4 linked regions of the Macaca fascicularis genome follow. The protein of the gene in region 2 purifies or fractionates together with the protein of the main gene of each other region. This does not show direct contact. Links are inferred from orthologs where the notes say so. Each region holds a gene or a part of one and is shown on either strand. Other genes may lie near its edges.

The links. Proteins that work in one complex are often made in the same cells at the same time.
Region 1: the proteins of RC3H1 (region 2) and FAU purify together in Homo sapiens (affinity purification with mass spectrometry; 3 studies listed by BioGRID, with this or other methods). This does not show direct contact. The link is inferred for Macaca fascicularis from reciprocal best matches to the Homo sapiens genes RC3H1 and FAU.
Region 3: the proteins of RC3H1 (region 2) and SERBP1 purify together in Homo sapiens (affinity purification with mass spectrometry, with the first as the bait; 3 studies listed by BioGRID). This does not show direct contact. The link is inferred for Macaca fascicularis from reciprocal best matches to the Homo sapiens genes RC3H1 and SERBP1.
Region 4: the proteins of RC3H1 (region 2) and NUFIP2 purify together in Homo sapiens (affinity purification with mass spectrometry; 3 studies listed by BioGRID, with this or other methods). This does not show direct contact. The link is inferred for Macaca fascicularis from reciprocal best matches to the Homo sapiens genes RC3H1 and NUFIP2.

What each region holds. Positions count from the first base shown.
Region 1 is NC_088388.1:9,246,633-9,251,522, reverse strand, and holds FAU (ubiquitin-like FUBI-ribosomal protein eS30 fusion protein), read right to left. Parts: upstream 2,543-4,890; 5' UTR 2,492-2,542; intron 2,222-2,491; 5' UTR 2,214-2,221; coding exon 2,139-2,213; intron 2,045-2,138; coding exon 1,900-2,044; intron 1,437-1,899; coding exon 1,381-1,436; intron 1,204-1,380; coding exon 1,078-1,203; 3' UTR 1,027-1,077; downstream 1-1,026. Other genes in the region: MRPL49 (large ribosomal subunit protein mL49), read left to right, coding at 2,756-2,833.
Region 2 is NC_088375.1:31,616,527-31,622,262, forward strand, and holds the start of RC3H1 (roquin-1), read right to left. Parts: upstream 3,142-5,736; 5' UTR 3,047-3,141; intron 318-3,046; coding exon of another isoform or gene 293-317; intron 1-292. Other genes in the region: uncharacterized protein, read left to right, coding at 293-317, 3,142-4,031. UniProt on the Homo sapiens protein: Post-transcriptional repressor of mRNAs containing a conserved stem loop motif, called constitutive decay element (CDE), which is often located in the 3'-UTR, as in HMGXB3, ICOS, IER3, NFKBID, NFKBIZ, PPP1R10, TNF, TNFRSF4 and in many more mRNAs.
Region 3 is NC_088375.1:167,244,857-167,250,572, reverse strand, and holds the start of SERBP1 (SERPINE1 mRNA-binding protein 1), read right to left. Parts: upstream 3,327-5,716; 5' UTR 3,225-3,326; coding exon 2,912-3,224; intron 1-2,911. UniProt on the Homo sapiens protein: Ribosome-binding protein that promotes ribosome hibernation, a process during which ribosomes are stabilized in an inactive state and preserved from proteasomal degradation.
Region 4 is NC_088390.1:34,779,348-34,785,257, forward strand, and holds the start of NUFIP2 (FMR1-interacting protein NUFIP2), read right to left. Parts: upstream 3,327-5,910; 5' UTR 3,238-3,326; coding exon 2,961-3,237; intron 1-2,960. UniProt on the Homo sapiens protein: Binds RNA.

The sequences.
Region 1 (4,890 bases), on a different chromosome or scaffold from region 2:
ACATGCCTGTAGTCCCAGCTACTCTGGGGGCTGAGGCAGAAGAATGGTGCGAACCCAGGAGGTTGGAGACTCCGTCTCAATAAAAGATAAAGAAAAAAGAAAAACAAAAAAGAGGCCCTCTCTGGGATGCTATTGTATCTGTCCACATCCTCCCCCTTTCTAAACTGCTAGAAAGCAGAAAGCATGTCTTTAACACCACGAGACGAAAATAGCCAAGATTCACACACTACATCCTTTAACCTTCACAGCAGCTCTGGAGATGGCAGAGATTAAATTAGTAGTTAGTTCAAAGGCCAGCCACCCAGTAAATGGATTAGGAAAAAAAAGGTCCAAACTCAGGCATTCAAAGTCCACAGCCCAAGGGTTTTACCCTGTTGGATGCTATTTCCCAAGAACTGGCAGGTCCAGAAACTTTAGCTGAATGAGTAAGTGGGGTTCAGAAGTGCTGGGAGGCTCAGTTGCTAGAAGGCAACCCTGAATCAGCCCCAGAGATAATCCAACTTTTGGGAACACCAAAACATCACTATATCCAATCACAGATGTGATTAGGTTACCAAGTCTAGCCAGGCAATCATAGAGGTACAAACGAGACCATGCACCCAACGTAATATTTATTTCTAAAACCGAGGCAGACCAGATTCCTGCCCTGGACTCTAAGGCCACAGCTGGTATCAAGTTCAGGGAATGACCAGGTTCACCTTCTATACAAACCTCTTCCCCCACCCATCCCTCCCACTGCTGCCTCCATAACAAACGTCTCACCACAATGATTCCTGCTACCTTCTCTGTTTAGAAGATGAAAAAGAATGACTTGAGGGGACTGATCAAGTTACTTAGGATAGGGAATAACTCCAATTCTACACCTGAAGCCCCAGGATCTGTGGCTACTGTTTCTTCACAGAAAATTCCTCTTGCAGTTTACCATTTCTTCCCCTATACCAACGGCTTTTCTGCCTCACTGTTCTTACAGGGGACACAGCACCAACCTCTCCCCAAGGCCTTGCAAATAAAGATGAAGCAATGCGATGACTGAACTAAGTGGCTTTTTTATTAGAGAAAGCCGCAATTACAAAGGACTTAAGAATTGGCATTGGGGCCCTTCTTCTTGCCAAAGGTGGGCACAACGTTGACAAAGCGCCGGTTGTACTGCATCCGGCGCTTAGCCCGACCGGTCTTCTTCTTCTTCTTCTCCTGTTTGGCCACCTGAAGAAGGGAGGGTTAATCAGGCCCTGGTTTCTGTCTTCCACACCTAGCATCCTTTCCCTCAGGCTCATCTCCAGGGAGGGAGAAGGCAAACCGGGTAAGAACCCAGGGACTTGATTTAGCTGTGACAGGAAAAGACAAAGTCCAAACACCATGACCACTAATACTCTCACTCACCTTAGGAGTCTGACCTCTCACTTTCCCAGCACGGGCCAGGGAACCATGGACTTTACCTGTAATGGGAAAGGAAGGAACCAGCAGGTAAGAGCAAGAAGGTGCCACCCAGCAGAACCCCTCTTTCCTCAATTCAAGCCTTTAAAGAGAAGCTGGGCCCAACAGGTAATGAGAACAAAGCTGCAGATATCTGACCTTGAAATCTTAAGTTTCATTTCAGGATTTTCCAGCTTCTAACTTTCTAGAGCACTTTGGGGGCCCCGGTCTGACCTAATTTTAGTGGGGAAGCTGATAACCAGACTCGGATCTCGTGATGTGACTGAAACACAACTACACTCTGGCTCAGTCTCCCATGGACGTCTGTGTTCAACATGAGGGATGTAAACAGGAAGAATCACTCTGAACTGAGGGCAGTGAGAAGTACTCTATTACCATAGGTGTGACACTCAGCTGCCAGGACTATGCACCCCCTACCCACTAGACGCTTACCAGTAGTTCAAAAAACATTCTTCTCTCACTCACCTCCAAGCATGCGGCCTGCTACTTCCAGGGTAGTCAGGGCCTCCACCCCGCACTGGCCCAGAGTGGCCTCATCCTCCAAGGGGGTGCCTGCCAGGAGCACGACTTGATCTTCCGAGGCAATGCCCTCCAGTGAAGCTACATGAGCCTACAGGGAAAGATAAGGCTCGTAAGTGTTCCCTCGGGCCGCGAGGGTGAAGAGCACAAGAAAATGGAACCCAGGGCGCACCAAGCAGCCTTACCTTGATTTGGGCGACCGTTTCCTGGCCGGTCACCTCGAGGGTGTGTAGCTCCTGGGCGCGGACAAAAAGCTGCATGTTGACGACTGAGTAAAGAAATACGGCTTGTAAGAGAAGCGAAGAAATGCTCTGGGATAAAGGAGGTTTGGGAATGGAAAGTGGTCCAGAAACGATAGCGATGGGATGGAGGTGGTCGCGGCGGCTCACGTGGGGAAGGCCAGGCCTCCCGAAGAATTCGGATAGGGACTGGAGCAGGGCCACAGAGCCGGCCTGGTTCTTCAGTTTCCCCCGCGCCCTCTGATCCCGCAGCCAATCTGCTACAAGCCCTTCGGATCCAGCCAAGGCCCTATTCTTACCTGAACCGCGGTCCCAGCTGCCGCTACCGCGAAGATGGAGTCGAGAAAGAGGAAGAAGCGAGGGCGCGTCTGTACTGACCGCGAGCTGCGTATCACGTCACTACTGAGCGACCGCGCGGGTCTCTGATATTTGTACCGCCCAAGGCGACCCTAGCTCCGCCCCTTTACGCTCGCACAGGCGAGCCTGCCAGGGGCAGGCAGCGCGCGCAGGAGGGGGCGGAACCAGACCGTTGCGTGCACAGACGGCTGGCGTACGAGGTCAAGATGGCCGTTACCATGTTCCGGGCTGCGCTTCGGGGATGGAGAACCGGTGTCCAGCGGGGCTGCGGGCTACGGCTGTTGGTGAGAGCGCTGAGCGAGGAGCTGAGGGCATCGCGTGGGTGTGAGGCTCAGTGTTAATCATTGTTAACCCCGAAAACTAAGGCATTCCTACTTGGGGCCTTAGTTTTGTCGTTTTCGATCGGAAGAGCTTGTCTCCCGATCGAGTGTAGATACAGAAACGAGAGAGAAAGTGGTAGACTGCGGTGCTCTTTGGGAGCACTTAACACAGTGCCTGGCAGTGTCTATGTAAGCCAAAACGTTTCAGATAAGGGGCGGGATCCTAGCATGAGTGTGCGTAGGGAATTATGATTGCCTTAATTCTTTTTTTCTTTTTTTTTTTTTTGAGACAGAGTCTCGTTCTGTTGCGCAGGCTGGAGTGCAGTGGCGCGATCTCGGCTTACTGCCAGCTCCGCCTCCCGGGTTCACGCCATCCTCCTGCCTCAACCTCCTGAGTAGCTGGGACTACAGGCGCCCGCCACCACGCTAGGCTAATTTTTTTGTATTTTTAGTAGAGATGGGTTTCACCGTGTTAGCCAGGATGGTCTCGATCTCCTGACCTCGCGATCCGCCCGCCTCGGCCTCCCGAAGTGCTGGGATTACAGGCGTGAGCCACCGCGCCCGGCTGATTGCCTTAATTGTTAAGGCAATCATAAGATTAAACACCACTATATCCAATCACAGATGTGATTAGGTGAGCAAGGCCAGCCAGGCAATCATGAAGGTACAAACAAGGTTACGCTGCCAATGTAATAATAATATCTATTCCTAAAACCGAGGCAGAAAGTTAAGCCTTAAGTTTCTAAAGACTTGATTGACTTTTCAGAAGTCTACACATACTCTTTTGAATCCCACCGAAATCCTAAGAGAGGTAGACCATTCAGAGTATCTGAGCCTCCTTTCCATCCCGTCTGTACCCTGCACCATGGAAAACCAAAGACTGGTGCTATCTTATGTCAACTTAAATAACGGACTCTAAAAGAAAATGATATTTATTCTGAAATGGGTGTATACTATGTGCTTATCAGGGAGGTAAAAGAAGACAAAGGTTTTTAACGGAAAAATGGGCCAGGCACGGTGGCTCACGCCTGTAATCCCAGCACTTTGGGAGGCCAAGGCGGATAGATCACCTGGAGTCAGGAGTTTGAGACTAGCCTGGCCAACATGGTGAAACCCGTCTCTACAAAAAATACAAAAATTAGCCGGGTGTGATGGCGTGTGCCTGTAGTCCCAGCTACTTGGGAGGCTGAGGCAGGAGACTTAACTTGAACTTGGGAGGCGGAGGTTGCAGTGAGCCGAGATCACGCCACTGCACTCCAGCCTAGGTGACAGAGTGAGACTCCGTCCCCCCCCAAAAAAAAAATAAAGGAAAGGAAAAAAGAATATTACATAATTGTATTGAGATAGTTATCCTTGGCTACAAGGATGAATAACAAGGGTGGTGCCAGTTCAAGATTGGACAGGCAGTTGTTGGACAGATGGCCCTGCAGAAATTTTTGTTTGTTTATTTTTGTTTTTTGAGAGAGTCTTGTTGCTCTGTCACCCAGGCTGCAGTGCAGTAGCATGATACCAGTTCACTGCAACCGCTGCCCCCTGTGTTCAAGCAATTCTCCTGCCTCAGCCTCCCAAGTAGCTGGGATTACAGGCATGCACTACCATACCTGGCTAATTTTTTTTTTTTTTTTTTTTTTTTTTTTGAGATGGAGTCTCGCTGTGTCTCCCAGGCTGGAGTGCAGTGGCGCGATCTCAGCTCACTGCAAGCTCCGCCCCCTGGGTTCACGCCATTCTCCCGACTCAGCCTCCCAAGTAGCTGGGACTACAGGCGCCCGCTACCACCCCCGGCTAATTTTTTTTTTTGTATTTTTAGTAGAGACGGGGTTTCACCGTGTTAGCCAGGATAGTCTCGATCTCCTGACCTCGTGATCCACCCGCCTCGGCCTCCCAAAGTGCTGGGATTACAGGCTTGAGCCACCGCGCCCGGCCTTTTTTTTTTTTTTTTGAGACGGAGTCTCCCTGTGTCGCCCAGGCTGGAGTGCAGTGGCGCGATCTCGGCTCACTGCAAGCTCCGCCTCCCGGGTTCA
Region 2 (5,736 bases):
CTTTGTTGGATGCTGACCACTTTCAAGATATATACAAGAGTGGACTGATTAGACCCATCAAAATCCATTTCAAGTCCTAAGATCTGGAGATGAAAAATACTGCAGAATTCTAAATTATCCATGGCTTAAAGAAAAAAAATGTATAAATTAAGAACTTCAAATATTATTAGCTGACCCAACTTTAACATCACTGAATATCTTTAGTTATTTTTAAGAATTTATAAAGTATTTAAAAGGCACAATTTAGTAATTGCCTATATAACAAATTAACCATGAAAACAATTATAGCAGTATGATAAATCTGTCCTATGTAAACAGTATGAGTTTTTATATTTTATAGCATTCAGATATGCTAAAAACAAAAAGTTAAGTGTTTCTTTTGTGATTCACATGAACAAATACTTTCTTGTTCTTACAAGTAGATATCTGACAGGATACAAATAATGATAATAGGGTAAGTTCACAGGCAAAAAAAGGAATCTGTTGACACAGAAGATGCTGCAAAGTTTAACTGTGACACATGTGGTAGTGGCAAAGAATCTAATTTGTGTAACAAGACCTGGGTCTGAGTAAGCTCTTTTACCTATTAATTATGTGATCTTTTTGCGCATTATGTAGCTACTCCTAGCTTCAGATTCTTCATATGAAAAAATGAGGACAACAGAACTAATACTGCAGCATAATGAGGAAGATTAAATATTTTTATTCATTCAACAAATATGTTCTGAAAAACTAAATTTGTATTATTGTGTACAAAATTACCCTTTTTAATTTCTTCAAATAAATCAAGCATGTATTAATTTTTAATATTACTAAGAAAATATAAATCTAATTCTTAAGCTCTGGTCCCAAAACTTCTTAGAAGTAAATTTTTATTACTTGAGAAAATCTGAACTTAAGTAATAAGTATTGACACTGAAGACGGGACAATTGAGGGATCACATCTTAAAACTGTTTTGACATAAAATGAATAAAAACAATTCCCTAAATTTTTTCCTATTAAACAAATAAGGACCCAGACTAAGCCCATAAATTGCTGGGTCAATAACCAATCTCAAATACAAAACCTTACCACTTAAAAATACTTATTTTCAGGAAAATGATAATAAATATGAGGTAAATCTGCCCTTGACATAACACGGTGAGATTTTTTTTCATAACACAGTACATGAACCACTTAAAACTTACAAGCTATCAATTACTACAATTGTTCTAATAGGTTTAGGGCCAAACATAAATTTAACTATCATTATAACATGGACTTGGAATCTGTGCTGACCTAACAAAATTTAGCACAGAAAAAAAAAATCACAGATCTGAGCATCTGAAAAACGGTGTCTTTTCTGAAATGTTTGCAAAAAAGTCACAACATCAGGAGCCACAGAAAGTTGTTCTTTCTCCGTCACTCAAAAAATCAAAACATCTCCAACATTATTTATGCTAGGCATAAAATGAAAGTCAGTATTGATATTCACTCACTATACTTCAAATCCTAACCAAGATAATTCAACCTCTATGTTTATTCAATTGCTAGTCTATTCAGTATCAATTGTTGTGGAAGAACTAAGAGGTAGACTAGTGCTGCTTACTAGACTTCATGTAACCTGAAAATGTTTTTAATTATAACAGACTTAGACCAATTCTACTTAGAAATGTACCCTTAAAAGAGGTGAAAGACATTAACTGGCATCTTTTCAGCACAGGTCAGTCTTCCTTAAGAACACAACCTATAACCCTTAGGCCTTACAGTTGAATGTTAACAAGTGAAAAGCAATTTCCTTGGATGTATCCAAGCAATTTTAATATAAATTTCTGCATACCTAGGTAGAAAGTACTTTAGAAATAACTTAAATCTACCTTTTCCCTCACTTGTAAGAAAATGTGGTAGAAGCCTTGAAAAATTAAGTTTAAGGCTCAGGCCTGTAATCCCAGCAATTTAGGAGGCTGAGGCGGGCAGATGACTTGAGGTCAGGAGTTCCAGACCAGCCCGGCCAACATGGTGAAAACCCCGTCTCTACTAAAAATACAAAAATCAGCCAGGCGTGGTGGCGGGCGCCTGTAATCCCACCTACTCCGGAGGGTGAGGCAGGGGAATCGCTTGAATCCGGGAGATGGAGGCTGCAGTGAGCCGAGATTGCGCCACACACTCCAGCCTGGGTGACAAGGCAAGACTCCGTCTCAAAAACAAAACAAAACAAAACAAGAACAAACAAAAATGAAATCAAATTTCTAACTCAGAGAAAAGACTGGTCTTGAACAATTTAGGGACAAATTACTGAAACAGGAGACAAGGCACAAGAAGCTCTATGGCTGGAGATGAACCACCTCTGTGTCTCCTTTAGAAATGCTTCCTGAGGTCCACTTTACGCTAGTTAATGTTGCTTCTTACACTGCATGTTAGTAATTTAAAACGCCTAGCTGGAATAAAAGTTCTCTTTAAACATTACAATTTGTCTCCGCGTTGAAAGTAAGTGTTTGTCTCCAGTTTCATGGGCTATTCTGATATGTCAAGAGTAGTATTATTACTGTTCCAAAAGAGCTCTTGTTTCAATTCACTTTCAACTGGGGCGCGGGCATAACTGATGTTTACAGAACTGATGCTTAGAGATGTTTAGAGAGGCGCATCCCTTACCATTCCATCCTTTATCGATAACCATATTTTGTATGTTTTTGTTGCATTTCAGTTTTTTTTTTTTTAAGACACCTGCACACACACAATTTTCCCACCGCCAGGAGGGAGAAGACCACAGGCTAGGTCTCCAGGGGCTTCAGGGAAACAGACACCGTGAACCCCGCTTGGCCAAAGAGGGGGAGCGCTTCAGGGGCTGGGGGAGGGAGCAGCCCTAAGGTGCTGGGAGTCAGAGGCGGCGCCTGTTTACAGACGCCTTCGCCCTCCCCCACCCCCACAGAGGAGGGGTCCAAAAAGCAGTTCCCGTGCGCACTCCCCGACTGGCCCAGGCCCTGGCAGCACCAGAGGAGCCAGGCAGCCCTTTCGCCCCCTCCCTCTAGTCCGAGCCTCCCTTCGCCCTCCTCTCGGCCTACCTACCCCTACAGGCCCTCCAGGCGGCATGCAGAGGCCTGAGGCCTAAAGGACGCCGGCCACTGACAAGCCCCAGAGCAGCCGGCGGGGGCCCTGAGGAGCCTGGGGCCGGCCGGGCGGCCGCTGCGGCGGGGAGCAGAGGGCGGGCGAGGACAAATCCTTCCCGACCACAGCTGCCTATTGTTCCCGACGGAGGCCCCGGCCGCGGCAGCCCCGCTCCCCAAGTCGCCGCCCGCCGCTCGCTCACCGCGCTGGTCCGAGCAGCAGCTCCTCTCAGCTCCGAGTCCCCGCGGCCGTCGCCACCGCCGCGGCAGCCGCCGCCGCCGCCGCTGCCACCGTTGACTCTGATTCTGTCCCAGGCCGCCGGGCCACGGCTGCCGCCGCCACCGCCAGCACCGCCTCCGGCCTCCCACCTGCTGCTGCTGAGGCTGCTCCTGCAGCAGGGGCCATCTTGTTGGTCTGCCTCCTCTTCCTCCTCCTCGTCCTCCGCCGCCCAGTCGCTCGTTGTCCTCGTCCCCTTCCTCTTCCTCAGGCTCCGGCCCGCCCCGGAGACTGGGGCGGAGACGAGGGCGAGGATCCTCCCTCAGAAGGCGGGGCGGGCGGAGGGGCGGGGCGGGCGCGGGAGCAAAGCTCTGAGTCACCGGCCACCAACGCCCGGGAGGGAGGCCGGCGACGCTCTCCGCCGCGACCCAAAGTCTCACACTCCCTGAGCAGAGGAACCGGTCCCTCCGTCCGGCCTGCCCTCCCGCACCGGCGCCTTTGGGCTCAGCGGGCCAGTGGCCAGATGGCGAGAGTAAATTGGAGGAATTTCTGTCGTTTCCATCGAACCCCGCAATACGTCTACTCTTTTGGCTTTCTCAGCCGTTGTCCCCCAACTCTGGTTTCTTTTTCACGTCTTGTCCCCCACCCCATTTGTCTTCTTCCATATTATCTAGGTTCTGGATCTCATCAGCTTTGTCCTCGTCACCCCTCTTGGAGTTCAGCCTCCTAAGGCTGTGAAACAGCCCAAAGGCCCGGACACGCTACTCCAAAACGTCTCTCCTGGGCTGTGTGAACAATAAGAGCTATTTGGGGACGACAGGAAAAGATGTGGCTCGTCGAAGAGCTCCTGAAATCTAACCTTGCTACTCTTTAAAAGTTTCTTGTCCCTTGTGGAAAAGGTGCCGTTTTGGTTTTGGGGAATGAGAGGTCCCTTCAGACAATTCATTTTAGCCAAACCCTCTTTAGCTTTTGAGAGGGGGAAGAAATGGGATTATCGTAACACCATACAGTACTGATTTCAAAATAAATCATCTAGAAGAGAAGAGAGAGAGAGAGAGTCCCCAAATAAACAACCATTTAATACTCTCTACTCGGCAGCATCACCTTTTTTGCTTCAGGACTTGACCAAGAGAGCAGAGATTATGTTTTTCTGTCCTTTCTTCACTGTTTACATCACAGTACCCCAAGAGAAGCACTTCTGCCTTTAACTTGATACATTGGAATCGCTATCACAGATAGTATTTTTGTATTATTTTAAAGAAATATAACACACCTTCCTAAACTCTTGGCAGAGAAGAATTCTTTTTAGTTGTTAACACCCTCCTGCTCCTGAAATCTCAGCTTCTGTTTAGAAGACCTATTGATGTCTTTCTATTGATTGGAATTTGCTGCCTTTGAACTGGGTTTAATCTGTAATCGTCTTTTCAGCCTACTAAATAGTAACCCTAGTCCTACAGAGAGTGAATTTCTAGCTACCATAGGGGGATTTAGGTTAGCATGTGCCAATCTAAAGGGATCTCTTAAAGCCTTTCCCTCCTCAAACCAGGCCTCTGTACCCTGCTAGGAAAAACAGATTAATCTGCTCCTCCTGCTTTTCCTCCTCCTCCCTTCTTCTCACTCCTAGGGAACCTTCCACAACAGAAGGTTTTAGCGACTGTTGCTAGGCAAACATGCCAACTTCCTTGTTTAGGTGAAGCAAGTAACTCAACTTCCATTACAAGCAACCTAGATAATGTAATTTCTTCCCCCCCACCCCACCCCCCAGACGGAGTCTTACTTTGTAGCCCAGGCTGGAATGCAGTGGGGTGATCCCGGCTTCTCCTCCCAGGTTCATACCATTCTCCTGCCTCAGCCTCCTGAGTAGCTGGAACTACAGGCGCCCACCACCACGCCCAGCTAATTTTTTGTATTTTTAGTAGACATGGGGTTTCACCGTGTTAGCCAGGATGGTCTCGATCTCCTGACCTCGTGATCCACCCGCCTCGGTCTCCCAAAGTGCTGGGATTACAGGCGTGAGCCACCGTGCCCGGCCAACTTCTTTGAACTATTAATAGTTGTACCTCAGTTGGTAAGGCTCCTTAAAAGGTTCCCTTAAGCAATATGATTTTTAAGTTGTTTATTTTTATCTCGTCAAAGTTTCAATTAAAAATACGTTAAAGGTCAGATACAGTGGCTCACGCCTGTAATCTCAACATTTTAGGAGGCTGAGGGGGGCGGATCACCTGAGGTCAGGAGTTCAAGACCAGCCTGACCAACGTGGAGAAACCCCGTCTCTACTAAAAATACAAACATTAGCCAGGGGTGGTGGCGTGCACCTATAGTCCCAGCTACTCAGGAGGCTGAGAAGGGAGAATCACTTGAACCTGGGAGGCGGAGGTTGTAGTGAGCCGAGTTCGCGCCATTGCGCTCCAGTCGGGCAACGAGAGCTAAAAAAA
Region 3 (5,716 bases), about 140 Mb from region 2:
AACAGTTACTTATTATGCATGGAGACAGTCCTCTAAAAAATCTGCCCTAACAACTATCTTTATTGTCAAATAATCTTTAAAAACCAAATCCACACACATAAGACCCCTTTTAAGCAGTAGGTAAGAAATAAGAAACTTGTGACACTAAGTGATAGCTGAAGCATTTACTAATTTCCCCCTTTACTGCTTTTCCTGTAATGTTTGAAACCCCACAAAGGCAACCAATTTAAATTACTAGTGCCCTTAAGGATCAATAGATGGATGATTAAATTAATGACTTTAAGATTGTTGGTATGCTCTAATTCCCAATTTCTGACAAAGTCATAAAGCAGCTGAGGAATTGGTTTTACAAGATTTTAAGCTGCTTCACTTTGGTTCGAAGAAAGTAGAACACCATCAGGACACACCCAATTGTTCAATTGCCTGTAACTGGAGCCAAACAGTAACTATCAGTCTCTTCAATAGAATTTTGAAGTTCATTCCCAGCAAATACAAGACAGACTACAAATGTTAGACCTTACACCAAGGTATTTAAATAAATGTCATCAGTAATAAAGCGTACTGGGGTGGAGTTAAGGAGCCAGTCCTTGCAATAATATCCAAGCCACACACACCCAAGTGAACAATAGTTGGCGTCCCCACCCAATATCAATATTAAGCTTACAGAATCTTAGAAACTTAGATTAAACTCACCTAATGAAAAAGACTGACATTTAAAAATGCAAGCTTCTTTTGATATACTTATGTATAACCTGCAAGCTCATTAACTGCACTAGTTTCAGGCATCCATTCTGTTTTAGAAAATGCCTGGTCTACACTCTCAATGACATTCTGCTATCAATTCTCAAGTTCTTCAAATAGGCAAGAGAAGCTACAAAATTAATTCATAAAACATAAACATTAAATATCTGTCTAAAGTATGTCAAGCATTATGTCACAATGTGTTGTCAAAACCACAGAACACAATCAGGTTAACCTTCCTACTATCTGCAGGGATTTTGTTTACAGATATATTCCCAGTAAATAGGACAGTAGAATCTCAAAACGGGTATTGTCCATTCAACACTTTTCTTGTATTTACATGCTTGTATTTTATGCAACTTAATAAGAGTGCTCTGAAATACTGACCTAAGGAAAATGTTGATTGCTAATATGGAATAGTTTTCCCATGGAAAGACTTATTGAATGGTGAACTTAAGTCTTAGTTCTAACTTCATGAAATCATTCCCCACATTTGTCACTTAAAATACTTTTCAGGTAAGAGCTTATTTCTTAGATGGGCTTCATGATCAAAATAACTCAGGCATTTAAACATGCTTCATGTTTTGAACATTCAAAATGAGTGAACACATCTACCTGGTACACACTATTCGTCAGACTCAACTTTTTTGTTTACTTTCTTAAGCTTAAGCATAGTTTAAATAATTACACAAGTCAGCATTACTTAACACACGAATTAAATGATTTATTTAGGTGTGTTAGATTGCCATAAAGCTTAATTGGCTGAAGAGATACTTGGCCTAAGTGATGTACATGCTTTCTAATACTCCAACTGTGTTTCTCCTCAACCTATAATTTTACCACAAGAATTATTTTCTTCATTCACCACCTAGGACCGAGGTTCTTCATTCTAAGCCTCATAAAAGTCCTCAAAAAAAAAAAAAACCACAAAAAACAATAAACCTCCTAAAACAAATCCCACCACGAGGAAATTGTTTTGATTTTCAAAATTAGTTGAATGTCACAGAAGTCAACAAAAGCTAATGAGAACTCCTTTCAGAGAAGCACGTGGCAGGAAGGGGTAATTTCAACTTTCAACATATAAATACAGCTTTAAAGATTCAGACCTTAGGTCCGACACCTGCTTGCTATTGATCATGCACGTTCTTATCTTCGAACTACTTGCTCTTTTTCATCCGTAACAAACTGGTAATGAGAATGCAAAAATCAAGACAATCCTGTGAAACTCACAGTGCCCTGGAAGCAACTATTAACCGCCAGTGAAACTCTGACCATGCTTCACGCACATGTGGAGGGGGAAAAAAAAGCTGCAGACTCTAAAGAGCTCTGCTGCGACTAACGCTGTGACAGCCTCTGCACTCACTTTACCCACGAGGCCCAGAGTCCACCATGTGAAAGACTCAGTTTGGGGAGTCGAGAGAGAGAGGATCGTGACTCGAGGACTTTCCTCGGGACGTCCTGCGATCACCAGTCTTCATTCATAATTCCCGCTTCTGCTTAGTCGAGTGTGGCCAAACTCCTCCATTTCCCAACAGCTCAACTCACCCCAGCAAGTTCTGAGAAAGTCCTAACAGTTGAGAGGTGGAGGAGAAACAATAAAGCACACGCGGCACCCCAACCTGCGGCTGACTCCACACGTCCGATGGCCTGGAACGACCCCCTGCTTTTCGGCGGGGATACTCCGCGCCGTCGTGGGACAAGATGGCAGGACAGGAGCCTGAAACAACAGCACCTCAAAGGAGCAGCTCTGCGCAGTAAGCAGCGATGGACCCCGAGCCCCTCCGTAACTACGGCAAGCGTCGGTGAGCGGCCGGCTTCCCCGCACCTCAGTCCATGCGCTCGCCCGCCAAGGAATCCGGCGGGAAGGCAACAGCCTCCCCGGACCCCGAGCGCGCTCGAGGAGCAGCTCATCTCCGACCACGCTCCTCCGCTCACAACCTAAGGCGGGAAGGGGGTGGCTCCGAGAGCCTCGCCGGCGGTGGCTTGAACTTGGGGCTACCACGCTCCTGGCACCTTCGCAGGACCTGGCTTTTGTCGCGTGAAGAAACGTGAGGAAATAGGCGGCAAAGTCTCCCGCGGACCCTCGGAGCTCCAGAAACAAGTGGTAGCCGGCAGCCCTCTCGCTCCTTCCCTCCATCCCAGTCTCCCCCACATTCTGCCCCTGCTTTACCTTCTTTCTTAAGCGCCACGGGCGGCTGCGTCTCCTCTTTCTTGTCAACCACGCCAACGCTGGGGGGCAGCGGGTTCTTGCGGTCTTTCTGGGACTCCTTGCGCAGCTGTTTGCCTGCCGCGTTGGAGTTGGTCTGGGCCGCGGCCTGAGCTGCGCTCTTGGCCCCGGGGCCCCCAACGCCGCCCCCGCCGGCTTCTTTTTTCTTGTTCTCCGCTGCCTTCAGCACCTCGAAGGGGTCCGATTCGTCGTCAAATAACTGGTCGAATCGGTTGGTGACCACGCAGCCGAAGCCTTCCTGTAAGTGCCCAGGCATGATGGTGGCTCGGCGGCGCGTTCCTCCACGGATTGCAGCGGGCCGCGCCGAGCCAAGAGCGCCTGCTTCAGCTCTTCCCACAAGATGGCCGGGCCGAGAGAGGGGGGCCGTCTTCTCTTCCGGCGCCAGGCACACATCCGGGAGCGGCCAGCGCCGCAAGGCACTGTGGGGTGTGTAGGCCAGAGTAGTTTCTCCTGAGGCGACTCCCTGCGTTGGGACTACAATTCCCAGGATGCACCGCGCGACAACTCTTCGCGCGCGCCCGAGAGGCGGGACCCCAAGAAGGGAGTGAAGCGTGCGAGCTGAAGGAGGGGAAGCGTGGTGGTGGGCGGAGTCCTGCCACCTGCTCTGGTCGCCCTTAAACTCTCTAGGTCTTCAGCTACCCTGAAACCAGAAAAACGTGACGGCGTAGCTGACTCGCGAAAGTGCTCTTTGGTTTCACTCACGCTCCCTCGGGCTCAGGCTAACTTTCCCCACCGCTCCGGGAAGGGTCAAGGTGACTCCCAGACCTTACATCTGAGACGCACAAACTTCCGGGGGAGGGGGTGTTGCTGAGACGCCGCGCCGGCAGCGAGTAGGCTGGACCCTGCCTGTGCCAAGTCCGAGCAGCTCAGTCGCTGGAGTGCCCTTTTGTCAGGCTCCACGGTGAATCGAGGCTCTTCTGTCTAATGTGAGGTGGAATACGTTTCCTCTCGCGGGGACGTGAACTAGGGTAGCAGAACTAACCAAAAAGACAAGTGAAACTATCACATGGGAGTGTGGCGCGTCTTTCCCGGGCTTCTCACCGTGTGGCGGCCGGTGTCGTAGGAGTGGTTAACTCCTGACTGTGCAGCGCTAGACACTGGGCAAGCCGCTAGGAAGCACTGTTTACAGAAACGCTGTTACAGTCATTCCAATTAATTGTCCGTTCGTGTCCGGCAAGTCAGGGCTTAGGTGGCTGTGGTGTTAGTCACATGCGCTCAATAAATACCATTTTAGAGCATTTCGAGTGCGTGTGTGCTAGGAGTTGCGGTGAGGGGTGGGAAATATTGAAGTCAATACTTAATAATAACAAAGCATTGATACTAGTTGAGAATATTAAAGTTCATTAAAAGAATACAGTTTGAATGCATTTTAAGCACATTTGGTAGCACCGTGTTTAAATATATCATAATTTTTAAATCCTTTTCCATTAACACAAAATAGCAAATGCATCTCTGGCAGGAGCTATGAATAACCTTGAACTCAACATTGTGTTACGCAAATAGTTGCCTCTTTTCACAAATGCTGAAACCACTTCAGAGATGAAATGATTTACCAAATTCACACCTCTGTAAGTGCTAGTGACAGGTATTAGCCCAGCCTTCTACCTCCACTAGGAGACCGGACATCAGCTCTTTAATTCAGACTCTGCACTGATAGAAAGCTGTCCAATGTTTAAGTTTCCGATATGATTTAAACATGGTTGTGTGTCAGGGTATGTAACATGGCGGAATGTAATCATCAATTTCCGAGCAGATTTTAAATCAATTCCTTAGCAGGGAAAATAGAAGACACGAGTCATATTACATACATGTGGCAGCAAACCTCCTGGTTTTCTTATTTCTCAATCCTCCCCTACTCTTCAGAGCCACTTACTTCCCTGCTGCCTCAGTCCTACCCACCCCAACCTCAAACACACCCCCTATCTCATCCTCTCTTTCACAGGCTCTGGCTCCGTGGCACCTACCAAGACAAGGAGCTTTTGACCATACTCTTCCCACCTTTTCGAAATAGCTCAAGTGCAATGTAGAAGATCTCCACATTTTGACAGATCCTCTCTCTTCACAGGCTGTTGCATCTTTGAGACTATCTGCATCTTTGAGACATCTGTGAAAGCTCCTCTTCTTACCTCTTTCTGGCCACGGCCACAGTAACGATATTCATAGCCAAAATGTGATGTTTTAGTATGTGCTTGGTGCACTTTACGTATGTGATCTCCTTTAAACCTTACATCAGCTCTATAAGAAAGTTATTACTCCATACCCCCCCCCCAAAAAAAGGTTATTACTTCTGTTTTAAGATGAAGAAAATGAAAACAAAGAGCTTAAGTAAGTTAACTACTCCTGCCACAATCGGGGGCTGGAGCAGGCCTGTTGTTAGTCATTTTTTTCCTCCATTACAGATTTCTGGTTTGCTCAGACAGATCTTCGTGACCACCAAGCATTATTATAATAAGAATATTTGAAAATAAGCTACACTTAGAGAAATTTTCGGCTATGAATTTATGAGGTTCATTTATGCTCCTCAGAGAATTTACCTATTAAGATTACATAAAAATGTTATGAATAAGCATTTGAAGAAAAGGGGAGAATCTTTTATATTTCTGAAAAGTTTTAAAGTCCATTTTTAAAGTATACAAATAAAGCTCAAGATGGTCTTTTACATCTCTCAATCGTTATTTTATAACTAGTTATTTTCAGTTTCCTTTATTCTACAAAGTTGAAATATTAATTTCTTAATATTAAATATTA
Region 4 (5,910 bases), on a different chromosome or scaffold from region 2:
CACAACTTTTCAGATTTCAATTAAAGATGAGCAACTTGAAATAGCAAAAAATCCAATCTCCAAACTGAGCTGAACCAAAACTAACTAGAATAATTCTTCCTAAGATTCTAGTTTGTAGTGACTCAGCTATTAGAATTCACCAAACAATGAAAAAACGGCTTAGAAGCCACTGTGCTCCCACCTGTAAGTTTTAATAACAAAAAAGAGAAAGAAAATCTCGTTTAACTACATAAAACTTTCCTCATGACAACCTTGTTGGTATGTATAAAGTATGCCAGAAATAAATTTTTTTATATCTTAGATATTTAAGAAAAATGTAAACATTATAGAATAAATTTAAGAAATTAAAGGACTCCTAGCGCTTTTATTATTTAGGGCTGCTTATACATACTAATCCTACTTCCAAAAGACTCAGCAAAACTTGAGTCCTGATAAATCTAGCTTTTCAATTAGAAACAAATTACTCAACACATTTGGCCTTCTCTTGCGCCCTCTTCTGGATAAACAAAAAAAACTGTTCCTCTTTAGGTTTGTGAGTAATGGGTTACAAAAGCCTACCTCAACATGTTACAGATAAATTTCAAAAATATTGTAATGTTTTCTTAGTTATTAGCATAATGCATGTCAAAGCAACAGTACTGTGACCAAACCATACACTCGCCCCAAATTGTTTATACTCTGTCAAAACTCCTAATTCCAGTTTCCTCCTCTTTATCCACGTCTTCCGAGATAAGAAATATTTGGAGGAATACCACCTTGAATGGTTTAGGGGCTGCTTCTACATGTAGAGAGAAGTCTTGCAAGAGTATATTTACCTGACCGATGAAATACAATTTTTCAGTCTCAACAGTAATATTGCCTTATGCAGCCATAATACGGTAGTATTTTCTCATCTTTTGAACAAGATCTAACGCTAAAAAAATCTAGTTATGTAGTCCCTAACAGTTTTTAAACTGCTCTAAATCTTTAGGATTAAACACCTAACTCGTGTGTTACGTGTTCACTTCTGTTGCATACCATCGGGTCCCTAACGAACTCCCAAAATGGAAAATCTGACACTCTAATTTCAGTCTTCAAGTTACAATCTGCAATTTAAAAAGCACTTAGTTTTTCTCCAGCTCTCAACAATTCCTTCTATCAAATTTGATACGCTGGGTTTAACATACGCTTTATGCTTCCTTTCTCTTCGATTTATATAGAGCCCTTATTTTTCAAAATATGCGAGGGTTATAAACTTTTAAACTTACTTCTCGTGAAATACTTTCTTACATGACTTTTACCCTCAATTTCTCGTTTGTTAATATTAGTTTGGGGATCAATATCGACTTTAAAATACGAAAAAACACCTTTCTTTTTAACATGGAGAGAAGCCTCATCCGAGGCAAGATGGTAGTAATCTAACCTCATGGATGAGCCACTTGGGTTCACCCTTAAGGACAAGAAAGGGGGTCAAAAAGCTCGCCCTGTTCCTCATCCTAACATTTTAAAAAATCTCTCACCTCAAAGACACTACCCAAGCTCAGAAGGTAAGTGCCGGCTGGGGAGGGGAATGGAACAAGGTTTTTGTTAATTTTTTTTTTTTTTTTTTTTTTTTTTTTTGTAGAAAATGAGCTGCTAGAAGGAAAAGGCCCAAGTGAAAGCCTCAGAGGCGGAGTCGTGAGCGAACCTGGCAGGAGACGAGGTTCCTGTGGCAGAGAAACTCGTGACCGGGGAGCTGGGTTCCCGCTGGGTACCCCACCCGGCCTCAGGCACCGCCTCTACCCAAAATGAATCCCCCCGCCGCCCCCCCAGGCCTCCTGCCCCTAGGAGCGCCGCGGCCGCCGCCGCCGCCCGCGGCCTCCTTCCCCCTCAGCTCCGCTTCGAGGCCGGCTCCCCGCCCCGACTGCCCGCGCCTCCCGCCGCACCCGGGAGCGGGAAACGCGGCCGCTGGCGCGCGGGGCCCTGCGCAGGCCGCTCCCCTCGTGGCCGCTTCCCTCCCCCACCCCAACCGCCCCCGCCCCTCACCCCAGGGACCCGCCCGGGGCCTCGCGCCGCCACCGGGTTACACAACCCCGGCCGGTGACGGGGGAGGGGCGGCCGCGGAGCGGGGGGCGGCGGCGCCCCCGCAGTGCAGGGGGCGAGGCGGCGGCCGGTGGTGATCCCAGGTCACCCAGCTCCGACGCGCCGTGTGGCCCTCGACACCCTTCCCCCCCGCTCCTCAGTGGGCCGGAGTCGGTGACAGGAATCGGCTTCCAACATGGCGGACAGGAAGCGGCCCCGCGAGGAGGAGAGAACATTCCAGCCGCGCCGGCTCTGGGGGGAGCGGGCCCGGGGCACCAGCCTTGGGAGGAGCCGCGGGACAAGACTGCGGGGTCCGGCGCCCAAAAAAGGCGTCTAGTGGTGGAAACGACCCGTGAGATGAGGGGTCCCAACAGCCCCCCCAACAAGATGGGGAGCCCCAAGGCCACAGGTGGGCTTGGGGTGGCGGGTGAGGGGCACTTCCTCAACTCAGCCTACCTACCCACCCCTGGCCGCCTGCAAAAGGGTCTCGCGACACCATCCGAGGCGGGATTCGCTAGGCCTTCCTGAGTTACACCTCGAGGGATTTTTTTGGGGGGTAGGTTTACCCCATCTCAGGGCCCCCATATTGAGGTAACTCCAGGGACGCAGAGAGGTGAATGGAAAAGAATAACGAGGTTGGACTTGCAAGGCCGACCCAGTGGGTCTCCCTTCAGCCGGGGCGGGGGCCGGGAAGGTCACGCTGGCCTGGCTGGGCCTCTCCCATGCTGGAGGGAAGGAGGGCGCTGCAAACCCCATTGCTCAGCCCGAGCCCTAGAATGAAAGGGGCATCCCCAGAGCCGGAGGGCACACACACACACACACATCCCGACCCCGTCCGCGCTTCTCGGATCCAGCCCCACCCCCATCTCCCCTGTCCTCCACCCCCAACCCCCTTCCCCCACCCGTCCTCCCTCCCAGACCTGTTTTCTTCTTCGGCGTTTCCTGGTGCTGCTGGAGGGTGTGTTTCTGCTCATGTTTCAGCGGCTTTGGCTGGGCCTTGGGGCTGCCCTCGGCTCCATGCTGCAGGTATTGGTGAGGCTGCTGGTGATGATGGTGGTGGTGGTGGTTGTGGCTGTGGTTGTAGAAATAATAATGGTGGTGGTGGTGCGGCTGCTGCTGCTGCTGCTGAGGGTGATGGTGCGGATGGTGGTGGCTGTGATGGTGCTGAGGCTGTGGCTGGCCGGGCTTCTCCTCCATTGAAAGCGGCTGGGACTCCCTGGCTGAGGCTGCGGGCTGCTGCACCGTCAGGATCTGAGACTGCTTCTCAGGGCTCACTCAGTATATCTGAGCGCGTCTCGCCAGCGCACTGGTTAACCGAGCGATTCTGCGAGATTGGCAGCCGCGCTCCAACAATCAGGAGCCACGCTGTACCGCAAGCCCCGCCCCCAGCTCAAATCCTCTTTCCTTCCCCTTCGCCGCTGCCGCCTGGCCAACGCCACTTACCCTGTGCAACCTCACAGGGCCGGGCCTTCAACGTCAGCACTATGGCTCTCTCTTCTGTCGCTTTCTCTCCTTCACCACGCAGTCTGCGAACAGCACTTTCTACACTCCTCGCCGGCAAGCAAGCTCATGTCGAGGGTAGCAGATTCCACTGGCGATTCCACTGGCGCTGGGAGCCATCTGTTGGTTTTGCACCTATTAGAATCTGGTGGTTTTTTTGTTTTTTGTTGTTTTTTGTTGTTAATCCTTTTCCGGGTAACCAGAAAGGGAAGCTCAATTCCCTTAACCCTAAGACCACTAAAGGGGCAATACAAAAAGAGGAAATAAATACATTTTTAAGAATACAAGAGCTTCACAATCCAGTAGATCATTTTGTATTCTGGATTCATTTTGCTTTGTATTCATATGCTAATCTCTTCCTTTCCACGAAGGGATTATAGGGTTCCACAATGGGGTATCTGTGTAATTTTCTAAAAGGGCACAAAGGGTTTAAATCATTGTTTCTTTGTAGTTGGAGGCAAGGGGGAGCGGGAGGAATGAAAATCTACACTGAAGGTTGTGGGTTTTTTTTTTTTTTTAATTAAACTGCAGGTGAGGTCAACTATGGCACCAAAATAGGTTTTAGAATATGAAGTTTCAAGAGCAAAGGAAGGGGAGAAAGAGCATTTAAAAGTTATTAAGTGGGATTTTTTTTGCACTTATGGAAAAAATGAAATTTAAAGAAATATTCTGTAGCGTGTTGTAGTGTAGATTTAACTTATCCTGCATTACCACATCACAGTATGATTTTCAAAAGCAAATGTTAGAGCCATGATAGTGCTTACTCAGGAAAAGAGGGTTGTGATGGGGAGGGACACAGGTTACTGATAATATTTCATTTTGGGGGCTAGGTGGTGATTATACATATATTTGGTGGTGATTATTTGTTAAACAATATACAGGTAAAATGTACTTTTCTCAATGTATGTTATAGATTGGGGGATTTTTTAAATTGTAAAATATTCATAATATAAAACTTACCATCTTAATATTAAGTGTACAGTTCAGGAGCATTAGGTACATTCATATTGTTGTAGAACCATGACCATCATCCATCTCCAGAACTTTTTCATCATTCCAAACTGAAACTTCATACCCAATAAAAATACTGTCCTTTCCCTCCTCCTTCTATCCCTTGATAACCACTGTTCTGTTTTCTGTCTCTACTAATTTGACTATTCTAGGTACCTCATTTAAGTGGGATTGTACCGTATTTGTCTTTTTGTGACTAGCGTTTTTGCGTAATGTCTTCAGAGTAGCATATATCAGAATTTCCCTCTTTTTTAAGGCTGACTAATATTCCATTATATGTATATACCACATTTTGTTTATTCACTCAGCAGTGGACATATGGACTGTTTCCTCAATGTATGTTAAATTTTTGAATTTTTTAAATGTGGCTTGAATTCCTACAACAGGACAACATTAAAGGAACAAGAAGCTTAAAAGCAAAAAGTTTATGCTATGAAATTAATGAATGTCAATGCAAAAGCTTATTTAAAACATAACAGCTGGTTTCCAATAACAAATGTCATTGAGTCCTGAAAACCATGACCAAATTTTGGCATGTTCTGTATAGTGAAGATTTGTATTGCCTTGCTAAAATTGTATTTTATTTTATTTCATTTTGAGATGGAGTTTTGCCCTTGTTGCCCAGGCTGGAGTGTAATGATGTGATCTCGGCTCATCGCAACCTCCGCCTCCCGAGTTGAAGCGATTCTCCTGCCTCAGCCTCCCGAGTACCTGGGATTACAGGCACGTGCCACCGTGCCAGGCTAATTTTGTATTTTTAGTAGAGATGGGGTTTCTCCATGTTGGCCAGGCTGGTCTCAAACTCCTGACGTCAGGTGATCTGCCCATCTCAGCCTCCCAAAGTGCTGGGATTACAGACATGAGCCACTGGGCCCAGCCAGCCTTGCTAAATTTTAAAGAAAAACCTCTTTGGGGGTACATTTACCCAATTTTGAGAATGAAAACCCTAATAATAATATCATATCACAATAAATAAGTCTTTGCCATTGAATAATATTCTACCACATTTCCAATTATTAAAGAAAAAACAGGTCAGGTATGGTGGCTCACACCTGTAATCCCAACGCTTTGGGAGACCAAGGCAGATCAGTTGACCCCAGCAGTTCAAGACCAGCCTGGGCAACATACAGAGACTCTCTCTCTACAAAAATTTTTAAAAATTAGCCTGGCATGGTGGTGTGTGCCTATAGTTGGGAGGCTGAGATGGGAGGATCACTTGAGCCCTCAAGGTGGAAGCTGCAGTGAGCTGTGATTGTGCCACTGTACTCCAGCCTGGGCAACAGAGCGAGACCCTGTCTCAAAAAAAAAAAAAAAAGAAAAGGAAAAGAAAAGAAGAAAGAAAAGTATATATAAAATGTA